Linked DNA regions of Caenorhabditis elegans. The protein of the gene in region 3 purifies or fractionates together with the protein of the main gene of each other region. This does not show direct contact. Each region holds a gene or a part of one and is shown on either strand. Other genes may lie near its edges. The genes, in order: F32D8.2, pole-1 and btf-1.

Region 1 (6,519 bases), on a different chromosome or scaffold from region 3:
TAATGAATGAGAGATGGAAATGGAACAGTTCAGACAAATGGAATGGCAAGGTGCGAATATGAATCGGAAAGGAATACGATATTATTAATTTGATGATGATGGGCAATTCCGATAAAAGCTATAAAAATCTAGAGGAACGGCCTTCAAACATTCAAACATGGCTTCACTCTACAGAAGTAGCCACTGTTTCAGTCCGTCTTTAATAGTCTCGAGGAAATTCAGATCTCGAAAAATAGTACAGTAAGGTGAGACCTGCATCTAGATATTATTACAAGGTTTTGTATGTCTCAGTAGACAAAAAAAAGAGAGAAGAAACAGTGAAACAATGTTCAGAGACGCAGACGGAAGCCGTTTGTGGAACCGAACTGAAGAAGAAAGTGAGTGAAAAACGTGACGAACGAGACGGGCTGGGGATTCGGACAAAAGGTGGTCATCTGTACAGAACTAATTGATATGGAAACAATCACAGAACACAGAGGAACATGGTGATGTAATGGAATTTGATAAGGATTGAGGGGAAAAGCTGATGAAAAGGGCGTAAAATCGAATAAAAAGGAGAATGGAAAGCGAGGGAAAAACTAGGAAGGACGAAAGAAATGAGGTGAAACGGGGGATGAAAATTCGTTGTTTATGTGGGTCAGTTTTGGAAAAAAAACAATATGCTTAAAATCAATTTCATATATAATTTGAAAAATAATAAGAACAAACTATATAGTGAGATATGTGACATTCTGAAATTTGGAATCTCGTATTAATCTTTGCCAGTGCCTGTGAGATTGTTGTTTTACAAATCACACATGCTGAAAACAGATTAATAAATAAACAATTTCCACCGGAAATCCCTACCTTGCAATACCAATGTTAACTTCATAACCGACAACAACCCTTGCTGTATCGAAACTATTAAATGAAGCAAACTCCGGTTTGAAGGTGAACATCTTTTTCAGCAAAAGGGTTTTCTGGAAAAAAAAACAAATTAGTTGCAACAAAAAAAGATAAAATTAATTGAACTTACCTTACCCCTTGAACTGATAATATTCACAAATCCGGTCAATTCTACGCCACGTACTTCCTTACTTCTGAACAACAGTTTATCTAATTGTAGAGAAATACAAATAAAATAACGCACGTTCCAATTGAGTATTCATAAAAAATTTTATAATCTTCAAGTTCAAACGAACGAACACATTTGTGTGTTTTCACTTCTTGTGTAAATCTTGTTCGCAATGTTTGAAGGAAGTTTTTTTCGCCTTTTTCAGGATACCCAGAGGATGTACTCTAAACATTGAAAGTATAATTATATTTTTCTCCGACTTTCAAAGAAATTACCATATTCATGCATAAACATATATTTTCTGATATTCCTTCAGACGTACAGTTCCTTGATGTTGGTTGAGCTATGAAGACAGATTTTGAAGATTTTTCTTTCGGATTGATTAATTCAACAAGCATTTGATTGAAATTAGTAGAAGACAATAACCTAAACTCAGATATTCTTTTTAAATATAATTTTTAGACCTAACCTGTTGAAATTCATATTCATGAAATATAGTTTCTGATTATTATTTTCTATGAATTGGTTGGATGGACGAAAAGCAAACATTGGATATTTGTCGTTTTCGTTTTCAATATCTCTGCAAATTGTTCAAATTAACATGTAATGTAAATAAGAATCTCACTTTGTTGATAAGTCGTACGAAGTGATGATTAGTGTAGTGTTCTCGAAAATGTTTGATTCCTTTAATAGATCCAACATTTTTCTGAAAAAAGGTCCGTTTTTTTCCTCAAAAACTTTTATAATACTTCAAATCTTGATCAATTGATTGTCTACGATATTCATCATATTCATCAATAAACATTGCTGAAAACACCTTGGAATCTGCTGTTGATGTCAGAAATGCTCCGATTTTTTCCAATTGATCATTTACTAATTTCTAGAAAAATTGTGATATAAACTTTTTTTGAAATATAAAACTTACTTTTCCATTTTTCAAACATAAGTTTCCATCAATTAAGAATTGTGTTATGAAATTCTGATGATCCAAAGTATCATAATCTACATCAATCATATATCTGATTTGTTGTGGACCAGAGAAAAAAGTTGTAAAATTATTTTGCTTTGCTTTTCTGAACATATTAATTTTATTTGAAATTCCAAGTTGTAGTAACAAATCTTGCATTGAATTTGGTTCATTCTGAATATTAGCGATATTGATAATTACAAAATCGAGTAACATCTTACTTTGCTCATAAATTGTGCAAATCTGAACTGGTTGTCTTGCATGAAATGCTTACTCAACGGCATTTTCTTCATAAATAGTTTGTGATTTATTGCTGGAAGAAATATTATGGCAATTGATCCCCCGTTTGATTTCTAAAATGGTGTTGAATTTTAGATTCTATTGTTAACTCATCTTACTTTTGGAATTGATGCAAAATTCACAAAGGGTTTCAGAAATTCAACAATACCGTTTCTTTCGCAAGCAAAAGCAAAATTGTAGAATGGAACTTTAACGGGCACATTTTTTTCAACCTGATGTTTATGATTATTAAAGATTTAATTTTAACTTTCATACCTTAATTGGGTGCTCATTTGGCCCACTATTTTTGTAAAAGGTGCATCTGAAGTTATATGTTGAGTTATTGACTTATTGAAGACAAAAAATTAAATAGTTCAAACCTTATATCAGAGGGTAAATCATTTGTATTTTTTGATCGAAGTGTCAAATATCCGTCAGATGATAAGTCAACCTTTTCATTCAGTTCATTTATTTTGCATTCGCCTCTTGAAATGTTATTCATTGGATTTTCTGCATAATTCAATTTTCCTCACCTCACAATATGTTGTTTCGATTTGTCCGGTGTAAGTCCAAAAACGTCCTCATCTTCATTCGGAAAGAAAATATATGGAAGTTTACAAACATTGGTCAGTAATTCTCTGGTTTCTGAAAATCAGACTGCAGGAAAATTAATCAAAAACATCACATACCTACCAAGGAATAAACAAACTCTGGTTTATACTTGATTCCACCATCCTTATCAAATTCTTTAATCTCGATTGAAAAATGACTCATTATCACCGAAAATATTAAAAGAAAAAAGCAAAGAAACATTAAAATCATGCTACTTGGAAGAATACTTTGGTGTTTTCTTAGATTGAACGACATTGTTAAATGGCTTTTGTGGTGTGAATGAACAAATGAATGTACATAAGAGACGGGGATGCTTAATGCCGGAACCAGTTCATGTAACAAATGAATACCAGATATGGTCAGTTGATTATATGTTACAACTTGGTATTTATAAAGAGGAAAGTTGTTAAAAATATATAATTTTGACGTGAAAAGTGCATCGAAACTGTCTTTTGGATAACCATCAGTCACGGGCTTTCACCATCTTTCATCGGAAATAGTTCAATCTTTCAGCCGCTCACACTGCGAAAAAAGTAGAAATTGTTTGCGTTTATCAATTTTAATATACTTTTATGTATCTGTTTTTTAATAGGAGCACGTTTTTTTATCTTGAAGAGATTTTGAAAACTTATAAATTTAACTGTACATTTTATTTATTCAAATCAATATGCAAGAAAAGGAAAGACATTGGCACCGGGCAATACTTATAAATTTTCTTCATTCATTCATCATCAATATTTTCCATGGTGTATGGAGCAATCCATGGATGAGCCATTATTTGGGATGCAAGTGGTCGGCGTTCTTCAGTTTTATTCATCAAGCGAGATACCAAATCTTTAGCCTCTGAAAATTTGCTCCTTTTTCTATGAATAATTTTTTTTCTAGAGATTCAGTTTCAGTCAACTCACTCAATGAAATTCCTTTCCATTCTGGCATATCCAGATTTGGTTTAGCTTGCATTATAAGTTTGAATAATCTGGTTTGATCTGGTGCACGGAATGGAGCATATCCAACAAGCATAACATAAAGAACAACTCCAAGGGACCAAATATCACATCTTGTCGAATATCCGGTCTCCCGAAGAACTTCTGGTGCGCAATAGGTTGGGGTTCCACAGATACGGTACAGAGGTCCAAGAATGTGACATGCCAATCCAAAATCGCAAAGCTTCACACTAAATTTGTCAACGAGAAGAAGATTTTCAGGTTTGACATCTCTGTGAACCACATTTCTTTCGTGAAGATAATTGAGTGCAGATGCAACTTGGAGAGTTATGATAGCAGCATCTGGTTCCTCGATTCGACCATTTTTACGGATAGTTTCATATAAGTCCCCGTACTGAAAAAATCTTTTTTTTTCAAACTGTGTTGTCAAGTTTTGCACGTTATTGTTCAAAACTGGGAGTATCATTCACCTGTGCATGTTCGAAAACTATGAAGTATTGATTTTCAGTGCTAAAAGCATCGATAATCGATATGATGTGATCATGTTGAATGAGTGACAACATCTCCACCTCATTGTCCACAAAAAAGCATTTCCCTCGCATTGCTCTTTTCTCAACTTGCTGAAAAAACTTTGAAGGAAATGAAAATTGCAATGTTGACTGGTACCGAACCTTAAGCGCACATTTGGTGCCATCTTCCTTGCGTCGAGTTAAATGCACACTCGAGAAATTTCCTTTGCCAATAATAGCCCCAATCTCGTATTGCTTTTCAATGTCTTGACGCCCGTCAACACGTTGGATCCATTTGGAAACCTAAATAAAGAAATGAAAGTTGAATGAAGAAAGTGAGACGCTGAAAGATTCCATTAGTGACATGATCTGTTGCCTAACTATCCGGAATGTAGTATTTCCCTCATCCCAATTTCTTATGCATATTCTAACCTAAACCCAGAAGCGGTTTGTCCCTTGAACATACTACAAGTTATTGTTATGACGGATGTGCCGAGAAGGAAAATGGAACAAGGCCTTTGCGTTCAAAAAACATTTTCCAGAAGTGTTCGTTTGCTAAAAGTAAAATATTTGTTAAATAGGTCGCTAAAGTCAATGAGGTGGAACATTTCTTTCGTAGATCTTTGGCAGTAATTGCAGAAAGTAGACATGTTTTATTTGGGTATTACGTAAATTTTGAACTTTTAAAAACTTTTGACACAACGTATCAACAAAAGATCGGGACAGACAAGCATGCTTACTGAAGTGAAAAATCGGCCAAACGTTGGAAGTTTATTGGGAGCATGAGGTAAATATTTCGAAGTTTGAAGGTTACTTTGTTGTTCTTGTCAATTTTGTAAAAATTGGTGAATTCTTTCAATTTAAATGCTTTTTTGTATGGACCCTCATAGATAACAGTTCTTTTAACTGGCAAAGTACGGGAAATTCAAAATTTTATCAGTAAAAATTTTAATTTCAAAGCCACGATTGCGAGGCTTCCAAGGATCAAAAAGAAATATGGACAAGGGGAATACCCTCAATTGCCGAACTGCAACCGATACTATGAATGAACTGAAGAAACTGAAGAAACATGTTCAAACCTATAATCACAATCAAATTCTGATCGTTGATTCACTTAGCTTTCAAAACATTCTCAACCCTAGACATTTTGTTCGATGAGTCAACATCCCATAAACATATACAAAAAATACCTATTGGGACCATTTCCGGTGACTCTCTTATTCTTTCTTCGTTCCCATTTCCGTACTAGTCCCCGTACCAAGCATATGATGCAATAACAGAAACATCTGGAGACTCACAACTTGCTCAAAAAAGTAATAAGTAAAAGTAAAAAGAAAAATGAAAAAAAAAACGAGTGGACGGAAATGGAATGGACATTCAGAAAGTGCACATATATACGAAAAGTGTATAGTTGTACTTATCCCCCATTATTAATGTTGAAAAAAAACAAGATTGGCTCAGGTTCATGTTCTGACTCACTCCAAAAAATCCTTCATTGACGTGACGAGATGATGTATGAACCATTCTAGGTTGTTTTTCAACTTCACGAGATGCATAATTATTGTTTCTATCAAGAGAAACACCTGTAAAGATTGCAAAGGGGTATAATTTTGATTATATGAAAAATGAAAGAAAAACGAAAGCAAACCTTTTCGATTTCTCCTGTCGTATAGAACGGTTACGGAACTCGAACGGGCTCTCATTGTTTTCAATTAGTTATTATTTGGAGGAAGAGATTGAGCTGAAAAACAAGTGCTGTGCAAAACAAAGAAGATTATACAAATGTCTTTAATAATCATAAGAATAATAATGATTATTATAGTAATCAAGAAGGGAGTACTCTCGAAAACGTAATGTGATTTGGGAGAAAAACAAAAATAAGTATAGTGAAAAGACGATGGGACTATAGTTGGGACCAAAGACTCGAATTCGTAAGAAGGTTCAGAACACAAGAAAGGGCAGCATGAATTTCAAAATATTTTGAAAAAGGAAATGACAAGAAAGCAAGAAATAATCGAAGAGTGCGGAAGGTGCGGAGAGTCGCCGCGCGGAGTTACCCGGGGTTACGAAGAGTGGACATTGGGCACCCTCTTTTTGGAAAATGAAGACGGGAGGGACAAAATGGGTGGAGACGAGAGGTGACCACCACCCAAA
Region 2 (6,519 bases), on a different chromosome or scaffold from region 3:
ATTGAACACGGCGTATCGTTTCTTCAATTTCTTTCCCTCTTCCTTTGATGCAGGCAGAATCATACATTGATATGGACCATCTACTTCGAAATAAATCGAATTCTCCGACGATTTTGAGTAAGACCCATCTTTTTCCAGAGTGTGGTACTGATGATTGGTGAATCCTTCATACACCAACGCATTCAGCATTGCACCCGGATACGACACTGTAACAGAACTTCTTTTGTGATTTTTCAGCTTGAAAGTGACATTTTCAGGGAACGAAGCAGGGATCAGGCACCAAATTCCATCAGTGTCAAGCTCCAACGGTGTTCCAATCTGTTCAACAAGTTTGCGTGCTTCTCGGATGATATTTGCACCAGTATGGCACACAATTCCAGCCATCTCCATTGAAAACCATCTGGATCCTTTACGCATCACATATCCGTAGAAAGAGTTGAGAATGCACTTGTGAGCCAGCTGCAGTGATTCGTAGAGCACCATTTCCACTGAAAAATGTTGTTTTTAACTAAAAATGTAAATATAACCACATACACTTAGATGTAGTCATAGTTGCAAGATCATTTGTCGCCTGGGCTTGATCGAATCGTCCTTTCGCCTTTTTCAACATATCCTTGTACTCGTATCTTCTATCACGGAACGCTTTTACAGTTTCCACGTAGAAATGATTCTCCCGTTGACAAATTGTAGTTTCTCTCATTTCTAATCTTGTCAAATGAGTCTTTCCGTAGACACGCCTGCTGTAATCTTTGATACGCTTCATTTCGATGGCTTCTCGCTCCGATCTCTCGAGCATATGAAAGTGTTTCGGTGGTTTTCCAAACGATTCTGCTTCGAGTTGCTGCATAATTTGCTGGTATTCTCCTCGAGTGGCTGGTGCTGAAAATTTCAGATTTGGGCTAGATTTGCTTGGGCTTTCAATAAATATAAAATCATTATTCCGTACTCAGCTCTCCCCTCCATTCCCAAGCCATCGTCCTCTTGCATTCTGCGTCTGGTTTGTTGTAGGAGCATCCCATGCAAATCTCCTCGGTGACCATCGCACATGGCTGAAAATCAGAGAATAGTTAAATATATATCAGTCCAAATCTTAACCTGCAATCGATTAGTCAAAATGATGTTGGGGTACATGGCCCCGACGTCCAAATGGTAGATACGTGGATTCTCGAGGCGTGTTGGCACATTTATCATTCCATCAAATGCATCTTGAACTTCAGCGCACTGCTCATCAAAGTCAACGACCTGGTCAAGAGTGACCTCAAACTCTCGAGCCAGCTCCTTGCGAAGGGTCTCTTGAATCTCGGATTTTAATTGCTCAAGAGCAGGAACGGAAAGCCGGAATCTGAAAAAATCGTTATTTTCTCGCTTTCAAATGAATCCTGAATTTACTTTGCTGGAATATCCGCTCTGAATACGCCGGCCTCCAGAGCTTCCACGTGTCCTCCGACATAGGTCTCGCTCTCAACACGATGTCCATCTTTACTGAATCTTGTCTCCTCTGGTCCAGTGTACTTGTTCGGGAACACAATATTGTTATGGAATGCTTCAACCATCAGAAGAGCTTCACAAAGTGTTCCAGATCCTTTTCTCAACACGTCATCTGCTCCTAGTGGGATAATTGTGCACAAAGCGAAGATAAATTGATGAACATACTTCATGTAGAGATAATAAGTGGACACTGCATCCGAAACCGAGTAATTGGCCAGCTGTTGAGGCTGCTCTCGAGCCATTTTGCACATCAGTTCCGGCTCCACCTCAACTGGATCATATCTCAGCTTTGCCTTCGTCACTGCCTTCAGATTCTGACTTCCAACCGGTAGATATGAGTCACGTTTGACCCATCGGAAAGCGTCCATATGAATACAATTTCGTGATTTGTACTCATCGGCGGAATCCTTAGAAAATCCGATTTCCCTTTCCATATTGAATCCGCGGATCTTGGCACGAGCTTCTACGAATGGCCAATCGAAGAAATCTCCATTGTAGGTGACAACAATATTTGGACGAACCTGCAAGAAAATGATTCTAATCAAATTCAGTTTAAAAGTAGAATTTACCTGCAAAAAATGATCGAAAAATTTCCGAATCAGAGCAGCTTCGTCCTTCTCATTCCAGACTGTGAATTCTCCTATGTACTCGGCTTTCGGTGTGTATTCGAACGCATTAATATCAGCCGACACGATTTCTCGGTTGATAATCAAAAATCCACGTCCATCAACCATATATGATATCATCATAATTTCATCGCTCTCACGATCCGGAAATTTCAACGGAAGTTTCGTTGTTTCAATGTCAAAGGCGAGAACTTTCGGCTTTGCGTGGAACAAGGGCAAATCTTTTCGCTTTATTGTTGGAACACGGTTCGGGCCAATTCCTTTCACATCGTACCTGGAAATTTATAAATTTAGAATTTAAAAAAGAAGAAAAGGATGATTCCAACCATAATCCGACGAAGATCTTTTCATCGATGGAAACTCTCATGTGAAAAGGCACGTCGTATTCTCTGATATCAACAATTTGATTCAAGATGTCACCATTCAACTGTTGATCCTTACTATCTCCTCCTTTTCCACTCAGATTCCTCGCCAAATAGTCAGCGTACGCCGACTCTTTTTTGATGCGATCTGTGTTTTTCCGCACCAGCGGCATTAATTCCTTACGGATTTTTATCAATTCCACGGTGCTGGTGAATGAGAGTTTGATATATGTCTTCTTCAACCCAGAAAGATGATCTTTCAAATCTAAATCCTCCCGATCCATATGTTCAACTGCTGTCTGGGCTCCGTACTTCTTGGACAGATAACTGGATACTTGGAATTCAAATCCATCCAACGTGGCAATATAGAAATACGGTCGAAATGGGTAACTGATTTTGAAGCGTTCGTCCATATCACTGATGAAGAAATAGTCAACGACCGAAATAATAACTTTGGTTTGCTCGTCGACAAGCTCCGAAGGTTGGATGTTTATCAGAAATCCTTTTTTCTCCTGTAGTCCTGTGTATCTAGAGAAACCAAGCTTCGCATCAATCTCATCATTTGATCTGATCAGGGCAAGCCGCTCTTTGTAGTTTGAATCACTAAAAAAAGAAGATTTTATACTTTCTCCATTCTTGAAACAAACTTTTCGACCGCCTGTGCAAGAATGTCATCCTTGGAGCTCATTGAGCTTGCTGGCGATGACCGAACTTGTCTGAAAATACTGAAAATCAAATAACTAAAGAAAAAACTAGATAAAATGGCAAATTTAAGTTAATTTCATGGGAAATCGAGTTTAAAATGCAAGATTTCGCGCGCTCGGCCAGAGGACGAGTTGGGTGGAATTCTAGGCCACCAGATCATAAAATGGAGGGAAGGAGCAGAATTTGAATTTTAAAGCAATACAATTGAATTTCCGAGAGGCACCACGGAGGCACCACGTTTTCAAGATTTGTTCAAAAACAAGATCTACGAAAACAAGATCCACCAAAACAAAATCTACCTTTTCAAGATCTACCAAAACAAGATCTACGTTTTCAGGATCTGGCACCGTGCCAACTGCGGTTTTCTCTACGCGTGCGTACGCGTGTTGCGTAAATTCTAGAAGAAAATTTCAAAAAATATTCGTTTGAACGCTAAACAACACGCGAACGTAACATCGGAGCATCGTTGTTTCGTTTTCTTCGAGAAAACCGCAGTTGGCACGGTGCCAGATCCTGAAAACGTAGATCTTGTTTTGGTGGATCTTGTTTTCGTAGATCTTGTTTTTGAACAGATCTTGAAAACGTGGTGCCTCGCACCACGGTATCAAGATCTGGTAAAATTCCGGATCTCCGTTTTCCGGATCTACCATTTCCGGATCTACGTTTTCCGGATCTGGCCAACTCTTAAAACGCTATTTTTCTCGGAGAAAAACGTGACAACGATGCTCCGTTGTTAAGCGTCGCGTGTTGTTAAGCGTTTCTTCTAGAAGAAATTTTCAAAAAACAACGTGCGTCGAGTGAATAAAAAAGCGTTTTGTGGGTTGGCACGGTGCTAGATTCGGAAAACGTAGATCCGGAAATCGTATTTCCGGAAAACGTAGATCCGGAATTTCACCAGATCTTGAAACCGTGGTGCCTCATTTCCGACAATATTATTTAGCTGACATTAGACAATTATTAAATTCAAATAAATATTTTTATTCTGTTAAAAATTACAACAATCATCTTACAAATACATATTTTTCACAATCTAAACAACTTCAGTATCCTTGACTCCATATTTCTTCAGTTTCTCGTATGCTTTCTTATGAATAACCGCGTCATCAGAAGTCACAACTGGCATTTTGAATGATTGTTTGAATGCATCAAGTGCTTCGGCTTTTTGTCCTAGTTGTTCGTACACTTCGCCAATGTAGTAGGTATTCGTACTGTAGAATCCGGGCTGAAAATTTGAATTTAACTATAATGATCTGAATTTTTCGTGGCACTATTTACTTCCCAAGTGGAGGAAAATGTTCAAAGTGTAAAAAAATTTGGTCGACAACTTTTCATTTTTGTATGTTTTTGATTGACTATGAGAGATTCACTAAAAGTGTTTGAATTCTGATATTTTTTTACCGAAATCTGTTCAGCCTTTAGGAAATAGTGTAGAGCCTCCTGATATGTGGATGCTGGTGGAGTTGCGAAAATAGCTTTGGCCACCATTCGAGTCGCGTAACCCATATTGGCGAAGGAAAAGTGCCAGACTCCTGAAATTTGAGGTTTTCTTTTTAATTCTCGAAGCGAAATGCAGAAATATCTAAAAAAAATAATGGTTAAGCACCGCCCGCCCCCGTTGATTGAACGGTGAGCTGTAGAGCTTTAATTCGGAATAAACACGGGGTGTCAGAAAGTCTCATTGCGGTTTGATCTACAAAAAATGCGGGAATTTTTTCCCAGAAAATTTGTGACGTAAGCACACTGTTAACCATGCGAAATCAGTTGAGATGTCTACGTCTCACCTCCCGCATGTTTCGTAGATCAAAGCGAAAAGGGACCGTCTGACTCCACGTGAATAAATTCTAACATGATTTTTCTTTTTTTTTCTCTGTTCAATCCGGAATCCCTTACCCAAAATATGCCACGTTGTTGGATCGTTCTCGAAAATCGATAACGCCTTCTCTAAATGTTTCCGCACTTGGAATGATTTTTCGATTCTCGATTTGTTTCCCTCGATCTCTCCAACGTAATCCAGTAGAATGGCATACCTAAAGATAGCCATGTGGCATAGAAAATGCTAAAACTCAGCCGCCAAAAAAGGCAGGTGCTCAGTTTTCGATTTCCACCCTCAGTCATAGTTTTTTTTTCTCGCAAAATTGTGTTGTTCTACCCGGAATAAATAGCGTTTTAACTCCAAATCGTACCATTTATGTGCTCCAAAGCATCCATTCTTTGGCTCATTGTCAAGAGCTTTTTTCACAATTCCATAGGCTTCCAAAATGAGCTCTTTTCGTTGATTTTGATCTTTTGAGAGTTTTCCTTTCTCACAAACCACACGTGCCAGACGCCATAGAAGCTCGGAGCAATTGGAATTTTCAAATCTTAAAAATTGGAAAGAAAAGTTAAAATGGACATTTCTAAAAGTTAATTGAAAATTCACTTTTTCAAAATATTATAACAATTATCGATTAGATAATTATCATAAAGTTCATCCGAATTTCGAACAATTAAATCGAAATTTTTCGGTTTTCCATCAATTAATTGTCCATTTCCTGAGTCCAAATTCTTGTTCTCTTCAGTTTTTCCAAAAAATGCGATTCCAAGCGAGGTTCCACCAGTGATTGCAATTAATTTCGGAAGTTTTGGAGAAGATGTCGGGCGGCGAGAGAAATTCGAAATAAAACGGAGATTGAATACTCGTTTGAACATTTTTTTTCTTCAGAGGCTGCAAAAATTAGACAATTTTAAATAAATTATAAATATTGAAACAAAAATATATTATTAATTTCGATGGCCTTTTTCCAAGTACATAGGTAATTTTTCAAAAAACTCATACTCAAAGACGCATTCACTGAATTATTCCAACCCCCTAATTCCGAATATCTTTAAATTTTTTAAACTAAAAAAGCCTTAAATTTATCGTTTTTTTTTTCGAAAATTCGGATTTTCATCGAGTTGTGATTTGGATATAATAAAATGTTCAATTGACACGGAAAAAACAATTTTCCAAATAATAACCAAAAAAAAAGTTTTTGAAAAAACATGACAGATGGTGAAAAATCCCGTAAATCGACACAGCACGGTGCGCCCCAATGAGACTGCCTCTGGCGCGTTAAGTTTTGGGTGCGAGATTTCAAGCTGAAATATTAAATCCGAGAAGTTTTTTTTTAATTTCACAAAGATATTCGGAAAGAGTCATACGCCAAAACCTTTTTCGAACAAAATGAAAATTTGAAAATTAATTTTGAACACTCGAAAGGGAAAAATTTTGCGTTCAAACTGGTTCCAGGCAAGTTTTAGAAAAATTCTCGTAGGCTACTGAGAACGCTATAATGTTGTCAGCATTTCACAGTTCAAAG
Region 3 (6,519 bases):
CAAATCATACAAAAAAAATTTCGAGCTGAAAACTGTACCAACACTCATTATCGATCTCTTCCTCTCCAGAAAGTTCCGTTCCTTTTTTCAATTTCACTGTTTTCTTCGCCTACAACGACACGATGAATCATGGCGAGAAGTCGTATGCGAGAGACTGTACGAGAAGTCGGAGACACAGACAGATGCACAAAAAGAAACATTTCAATGTCGCCTCGCGCACATGCTGTCACCCTCCCATAATTCCATGCTCTCTCTGACTCAATATTGGGCGGCGCTTGCGAATGTTATGACTGTTCAACTGTCTGGTTTCTCTCTCCTCTCACACTCTCAGCTTTTGTTGAAACTGTTTACCGGTCGTCAGTTCTTCGTTTGACTCGCGTCCTGAACGATCGCTTTCAGTTTTCCTCAGCTCAACTCTTTACACTAATGTCTTCCACTCCTCAATTCCTTCGCTGGTACGAGCAGAACAAGGTAAAGCATGCCTCTATACATGGGGGTGTCAGGCTGTCCCATGTTTGATCTACAAAAAAAAGCGGGAATTTTTTCTCCTGCAACTTTTCGGAGATCAAACTGACATGGGACATTCTGACACCAGCTCGAAAATGGAGAGCATTCCAAGTTTGTTGGTTGCCACTAAAGTGACACATTCCTCTCGTTATCTGCTCGCCCACACCTTCGGTTCCATTATCAACATTCGAGATTCCCGCCATATTTCTGGTGTGTTTGCTCGGCGGCACATCACAACAAAATTTTGTGCAAAATGGAGCAAAATGGAGCTAAAAAATAGAAAGCAACTAGACAATGTAGAAAAGGCATTTTTTGTCGTCGTCAGCTGTATGAAAGTCTGGGGAGCGCGAAGATTGGTGGATGCAGATTGGATAACAGCTCTTCCGCTTTTTCGGGTCTCGCTTCTTGCTCGCTTATTCTGTTCACCAGTGTGTGACACGCGAGGTCCCCCCCCCCCCCCAGCATATATTTCTACATGATTACCCTACTGAACATTTTAAAATGGCATATGGAAGAAGAAATGGTTCTAGAAAACTCTACTTATAAATCTATTACCGAAACACAAAATTCTGAGAATGCGTATCGCGCGACATATTTGACGCGCAAAATATCTCGTAGCGAAAACTACAGTAGTTCATTGTTCATTACATGACTACTGTAGCGCTTGTGTGTCGATTTACGGCATTTCACAAGCGCTACAGTAGGCATTTAAGGAGTTACTGTAGTTTTCGCTACGAGATATTTTGCGCGTCAAATATGTTGTGCAGTACGCATTATCAGAAAAATGTGTTCCCGTAATAATCCAATTAATTTTTTAAAAAATTAAAATTTTTAAATTTTTCAGCCAGTACCATACCGCTCAGTGCTCCAGGAGAAGTTCGAGCCCGGACAGACGCTCATCGTCAAGGGATCGACGATCGACGAGTCGCAACGCTTCACCATCAACCTTCACTCGAAGACCGCGGATTTCTCCGGAAACGATGTGCCACTCCACGTCTCTGTCCGCTTCGATGAGGGCAAAATTGTGCTCAACTCGTTCTCGAATGGAGAATGGGGAAAGGAAGAGCGCAAGTCGAACCCAATCAAGAAGGGAGACTCGTTCGACATTCGCATCCGTGCTCACGACGATCGCTTCCAGATCATCGTCGACCACAAGGAGTTCAAGGACTACGAGCACCGTCTGCCACTCTCCTCAATCTCTCACCTCTCGATTGACGGAGATCTCTACTTGAACCACGTTCACTGGGGAGGAAAGTACTACCCAGTACCATACGAGAGCGGACTCGCCAACGGACTTCCAGTCGGAAAGAGCCTCCTCGTCTTTGGAACCGTTGAGAAGAAGGCCAAGCGCTTCCACGTCAACCTTCTCCGCAAGAATGGAGACATCTCGTTCCACTTCAACCCACGTTTCGATGAGAAGGTAAGGGTTGATATATGCCACGAGGCACCACAGAAAGGAGAACCACGACAAAGGAGAACAGGAACCACGTCCATTTTTCCGTGCCGCGAGAGGCACCACATTTTCAGGATCTGGAACCGTACCAACTGCGGTTTTTGCAGTTTTCTCTCGATGAAAAACGAAACAACGATGCTCCGATGTTATGCGTGTTGTTTAGCGTTTTCCAAAAGTTTTTATTTCAAAAAAACATTATTCTGAACGCTAAACAACACGCGACGCGTCATATCGGAGTATCGTTGTTTCGTTTTTCAGCGAGAGAAAACTGCAAAAACCGCAGTTGGCACGGTGCCCCAGATCCTGAAAACGTGGTGCCTCAAAATTTGCGGAAAACTTGCGGCACGGAAAAATGGGTGTGGTTTCTGTGTTCTCCTTGTTCACCTGTTCTCCTTTCTGTGGTGCCTCACACACACATACACAAAAAGACCCGCATTTTGTTTGCTACATTTGGGCAAATATGGCGCTCTTCAACAAACAATTTTATGAGACACAAAAGTTTTGCATGTGTCTATTTCTATTGGTAAAATTGGTGAAAGGACAAAAAAAAATCGATTTCAATAGAAATTTGACCAAATTCTTTATTTCCTTTCTTCCAGCACGTCATCCGCAACTCTCTTGCCGCCAACGAATGGGGAAATGAGGAGCGCGAGGGAAAGAACCCATTCGAGAAGGGAGTCGGCTTCGACTTGGTCATCCAAAACGAGGAGTACGCGTTCCAGGTGTTCGTCAACGGAGAACGCTACATCTCGTTCGCTCACCGCGCCGATCCACACGACATTGCCGGGCTTCAGATCTCTGGAGACATTGAGCTGTCTGGAATTCAAATCCAATAAATTATGTATTGATATCCCCTGTTCCCCCTCTTTCTTCTGTTATCCAGCTCTCCCATTTCTCTCTCTCTCACTGATCAATCTTCCAAAAGTCTACTGCCCCTCTCCCCCCCCCCCCCCCCCAAAAAGAATCATTTCTCTATTATTTCGCACCGGCAACTGAACTGTAATCCCGCGTTTTTCTTTTTGTATCTTTTCTCACCCCCCACATTGTATTTTAATAAAATTGGATAGCAGATTTTCTCGTTGTCATTTCAGGTTTCATATTTTGAAAGCGGATCATCATGAAAAGTTCTGCGAAAAAAACGCGAAAAGTAAGCGAAAACTCGAAAAAACTATATTTGAAAGTACCGCCGTTTTTGTCCAGGAGAGCGCGTTTTCCTCGAGTCACTACAAATTGCACGGAAGTCGAATCGTGAAAACCGCGCGTGTTTCCCATCAGGTTTGCCTACAAAATTTAGTTTTCTTCTTATTGTTAAATCAATAATTATTATAATGTATAATGTGAAGCTCGAAATCTTGAATAATCCTGAATAATCCTGCTATAAACTCGGGTTTCTAAAGTTTTCCTCAGGATTTTTGTTCCCTGGAATGCGTGGTGTCTCCCATTTTTTTTTGGATTTTTGGATTTAAATGCATTTTTCGCTGTTTTTTCTCTCAAATAAGCCGGAAAAATTGAAAATTTTCAGTTTCCGATGAGCGCCGACACGTCGGCTCGTCTTCTTCAGCTTGACCCTCTACTCGAAGCGAAAAATCCGAATGTTCGAAATGAAGCGGCCGCTGCGTTCGGGAAATTGTCAATTTTAAGTGAAGACGTGAAAAATGTTGGTTAATTAATATATATTTTTTTTAAATCACAAGAAAAAGTAAAAAATCACGGGTGAAAAGCGAGTTTATATATTTTTTTCCCTCGAAATGCCGAATATTAATTATAAAATTCAGTATTTTTGGGTTATTTTGAGTATTTTGAAGGTGTACTAACGGTTTAGACTCAAAAACCGTTAGTCTTCGTTTAAAATACTCAAAATGCCCCAGAAATACTGAATTTTATAATTAATTTTCGATATTTCGAGTGAAAAAAACATATAAGCTCGCTTTTTTCCGGTGATTTTTCACTCATTTTCAGTGATTTTTTCACTTTTTTCAGGGGTTTATCTTTTTTAAATACTTTAAATATATAAATAATCTTAATTTCAGAGTCTCAAAAAACACGCGGCATCTCAACTCTGGGAGACACGAGTATCTGCTGGAAAAGCGTTGCAGGCGACACTTCAGAATGCTCCAGAATTCGAACGATTGAAGGTTTTTCTGAGCTTTTTGAGTTATGAAATTCTTTAAAAAAATCGATTTTTCAGAATGAAGAAGACTCATCGGTATCGGAAAATGTCAGAAGCATCGTTGTGATGAACGTTTTACGATCGTTCAAGCCACTGTTAAGTGATGATGAGTCGGCACTGAAAAAGTCGGAAAAAGATCGAGGAAATAATCAGAAACAGCGGGAAATTGTAGATCAACACCTTGAATACAATCGGGCCACCGGAATAAGCTCGGTATCGATTTTTCCGGCAGTTTTCTGGGGAAAAAACCAAAAAAAAACGAATCTGGCGCCCAGATTTGCTTAAAAGTCAATTTTTTTTTCAATTTTTCACAAAGTTTTTTGAGAAAATTTGGATTTTAGCTAAAATTTTAGTACGTTTTTCTTGCAAAAATTTGGGGTTTTCTGAGTTTTCGGTTTCTAACCCATGAAAATTCGAATTTGGAACCCAGAAAGTCATTTTTTTCAATTTTTTAGAAAAAATCGAAGAAAAATTGCCGAATTGCCGGAATTGAAAAATTCTGGCAAATCGGCGAAATGCCGAAACTGAAATTTTCCGGCAAATCGATAAACCGGTAACTTGCCGAAATTAAAATTGAAATTGCTTTGAAATTGAAAATATTAAAACTGGAAATTCCCGGCAAAACGGCAAACTACCGAAATTGAATACTGGCAAATCGGTCATTTGCCGGAAATTTCAAATTCCGGCAATATGCCGATTTGCCGGAAATTTCAAATTCCGGCAATATGCCGATTTGCCGGAAATTTCAAATTCCGGCAATATGCCGGATTTGAAAACTTTTGGCAAATCGACAAACCGGCAATTCGTGGAAAATCGAAAAATTTCCGGGAAATCGGCAATTTGCCCGAATTGAAATTAAAAATTGAAATTTCCGGCAAAACGGCAAATTGCCGGATTTGAAAACTTCTGGAAAATCGGCAAAAAAGGCGAAAATTGCGGATTTGCCGGTTTTGCCGAAACAATGTACAATTGCCGCTCACCCCTGAAAGAGATTATTAAGAAAACGTTGAACATTAAATTTTCATTTCAGACAAAATTCCTCAGCGACGACGAATTTTTGCATCAAGGAATCTCGGAACCAGATCAACCATCAACTAGTAAAGAATTGGATGAGGTGGTCACGAAAATTGAGATTTTTGATGAAGAAAATGGCAATTGTGATGATGGAATTGAAAGGCAAAAGAAGTTTTTGAAGGTTTTAAGGGAATTAGTGAATTTGGTAGCCGAGAAACAATGGTACGCAAGGCATGGCGGTGCGATTGCTATTTGTCAGATTGCTTCTACTTCTTATGACAGGTACTTGGCAGGATTTTTTGGGATTTGAAGAATTTTATTGAAAAAATCTAACTTTTATTTTAAAGGCAGAATTTAAACAAAAAAAATAAAATGATTTTTTCAATTTTGAAAAAAAACAACAATACGGGAACACAAAATTCTGAGAACGCGTATTGCACAACATATTTGACGCGCAAAATATCTTGTAGCGAAAACTACAGTAATCCGTTAAATTACTACTGTAGCGCTTGTGTCGATTTACGAGCTCGAGTTTGAAATGAATTTCTTTCGAAAAATTACAGCGATTCTGAATTTTTTGTAGGTTTTTCGTCTTTTTCAAAATTATTTTTGTGTTTAAAAAAAAAATATTTCATCGATTAATAAATCATTTTCGTAATTCGACACAAACGCTACAGTAGTCATTTAAAGAATTACTGTAGTTTTCGCTACGAGATATTTTGCGCGTCAAATATGTTGTGCAATACGCATTCTCCGAATATTGTGTTCCCGTAATAACTGCCTAATTAAATTTGATTTCCCGCGCAAATCAATAACCTTATTTCGACAATTTCGCGTTTTCTGACTAATTTTACCCGTTTTTCCTGATTTTTTCCTTATGTATTGGATTTTAAACACCGTCTGAAAATTTGTCAGACGCATTGAAGGTTTTTTTAAACATTTATTTACAATTTTTTTGCAGGAAAAAATATAGAAGTAAAAATAATTTTTAAAAAACTGAAGAATTTAGCCAGAAAACCCGTGGTGCGAGGTTGTCCAATTACTGTTTGATCTACAAAAATGCGGGAAATTTTTTTGCCCGAAAAAATGTGACAATCAGTTGAGAACTCTGCGTCTCTTCTCCCGCATTTTTTGTAGATCTACGTAGATCAAACCGAAATGAGACAATCTGACCATGTGAGAAAACACGAAAATGACGTCACTCACTTGCGCGGGAATTAAAATTTTTTAATTCGGCCGTTTCTTAGATTTTTGAAAAAGTTAAGAATCATTCAAAAAAATTAAATTATCTTTAAAATTTTTTTTATAGTTATTCCCTGGACTCTACTCCACGTTTGAAGAATTTTATTTTTAAAAAATTAAAAAATCTATCTTT

Evidence for each region.
Region 1: the proteins of btf-1 (region 3) and F32D8.2 fractionate together in Caenorhabditis elegans (co-fractionation; one large-scale study listed by BioGRID). This does not show direct contact.
Region 2: the proteins of btf-1 (region 3) and pole-1 fractionate together in Caenorhabditis elegans (co-fractionation; one large-scale study listed by BioGRID). This does not show direct contact.

Annotation. Positions count from the first base shown.
Region 1 is NC_003283.11:10,880,426-10,886,944, reverse strand, and holds F32D8.2 (ATPase_AAA_core domain-containing protein), read right to left. Parts: upstream 3,168-6,519; coding exon 2,990-3,167; intron 2,946-2,989; coding exon 2,834-2,945; intron 2,786-2,833; coding exon 2,681-2,785; intron 2,623-2,680; coding exon 2,577-2,622; intron 2,534-2,576; coding exon 2,420-2,533; intron 2,375-2,419; coding exon 2,243-2,374; intron 2,196-2,242; coding exon 1,980-2,195; intron 1,935-1,979; coding exon 1,804-1,934; intron 1,761-1,803; coding exon 1,680-1,760; intron 1,635-1,679; coding exon 1,524-1,634; intron 1,481-1,523; coding exon 1,330-1,480; intron 1,279-1,329; coding exon 1,130-1,278; intron 1,080-1,129; coding exon 1,016-1,079; intron 960-1,015; coding exon 843-959; downstream 1-842. Other genes in the region: cat-6 (Protein kinase domain-containing protein), read right to left, coding at 3,634-3,755, 3,821-4,250, 4,327-4,476, 4,528-4,668, 5,845-5,948, 6,014-6,068.
Region 2 is NC_003279.8:15,010,711-15,017,229, forward strand, and holds the start of pole-1 (DNA polymerase epsilon catalytic subunit), read right to left. Parts: upstream 3,195-6,519; 5' UTR 3,165-3,194; coding exon 3,124-3,164; intron 3,080-3,123; coding exon 2,441-3,079; intron 2,389-2,440; coding exon 2,058-2,388; intron 2,010-2,057; coding exon 1,390-2,009; intron 1,343-1,389; coding exon 1,096-1,342; intron 1,050-1,095; coding exon 947-1,049; intron 880-946; coding exon 535-879; intron 489-534; coding exon 1-488. Other genes in the region: F33H2.6 (Regulator of microtubule dynamics protein 1), read right to left, coding at 4,212-4,403, 4,580-4,710, 5,072-5,208, 5,365-5,541, 5,601-5,869.
Region 3 is NC_003280.10:13,196,683-13,203,201, forward strand, and holds the start of btf-1 (BTAF (TBP-associated factor) homolog), read left to right. Parts: upstream 1-3,482; 5' UTR 3,483-3,488; coding exon 3,489-3,617; intron 3,618-3,990; coding exon 3,991-4,095; intron 4,096-4,148; coding exon 4,149-4,343; intron 4,344-5,160; coding exon 5,161-5,426; intron 5,427-6,519. Other genes in the region: lec-1 (Galectin), read left to right, coding at 427-471, 1,352-1,927, 2,560-2,796.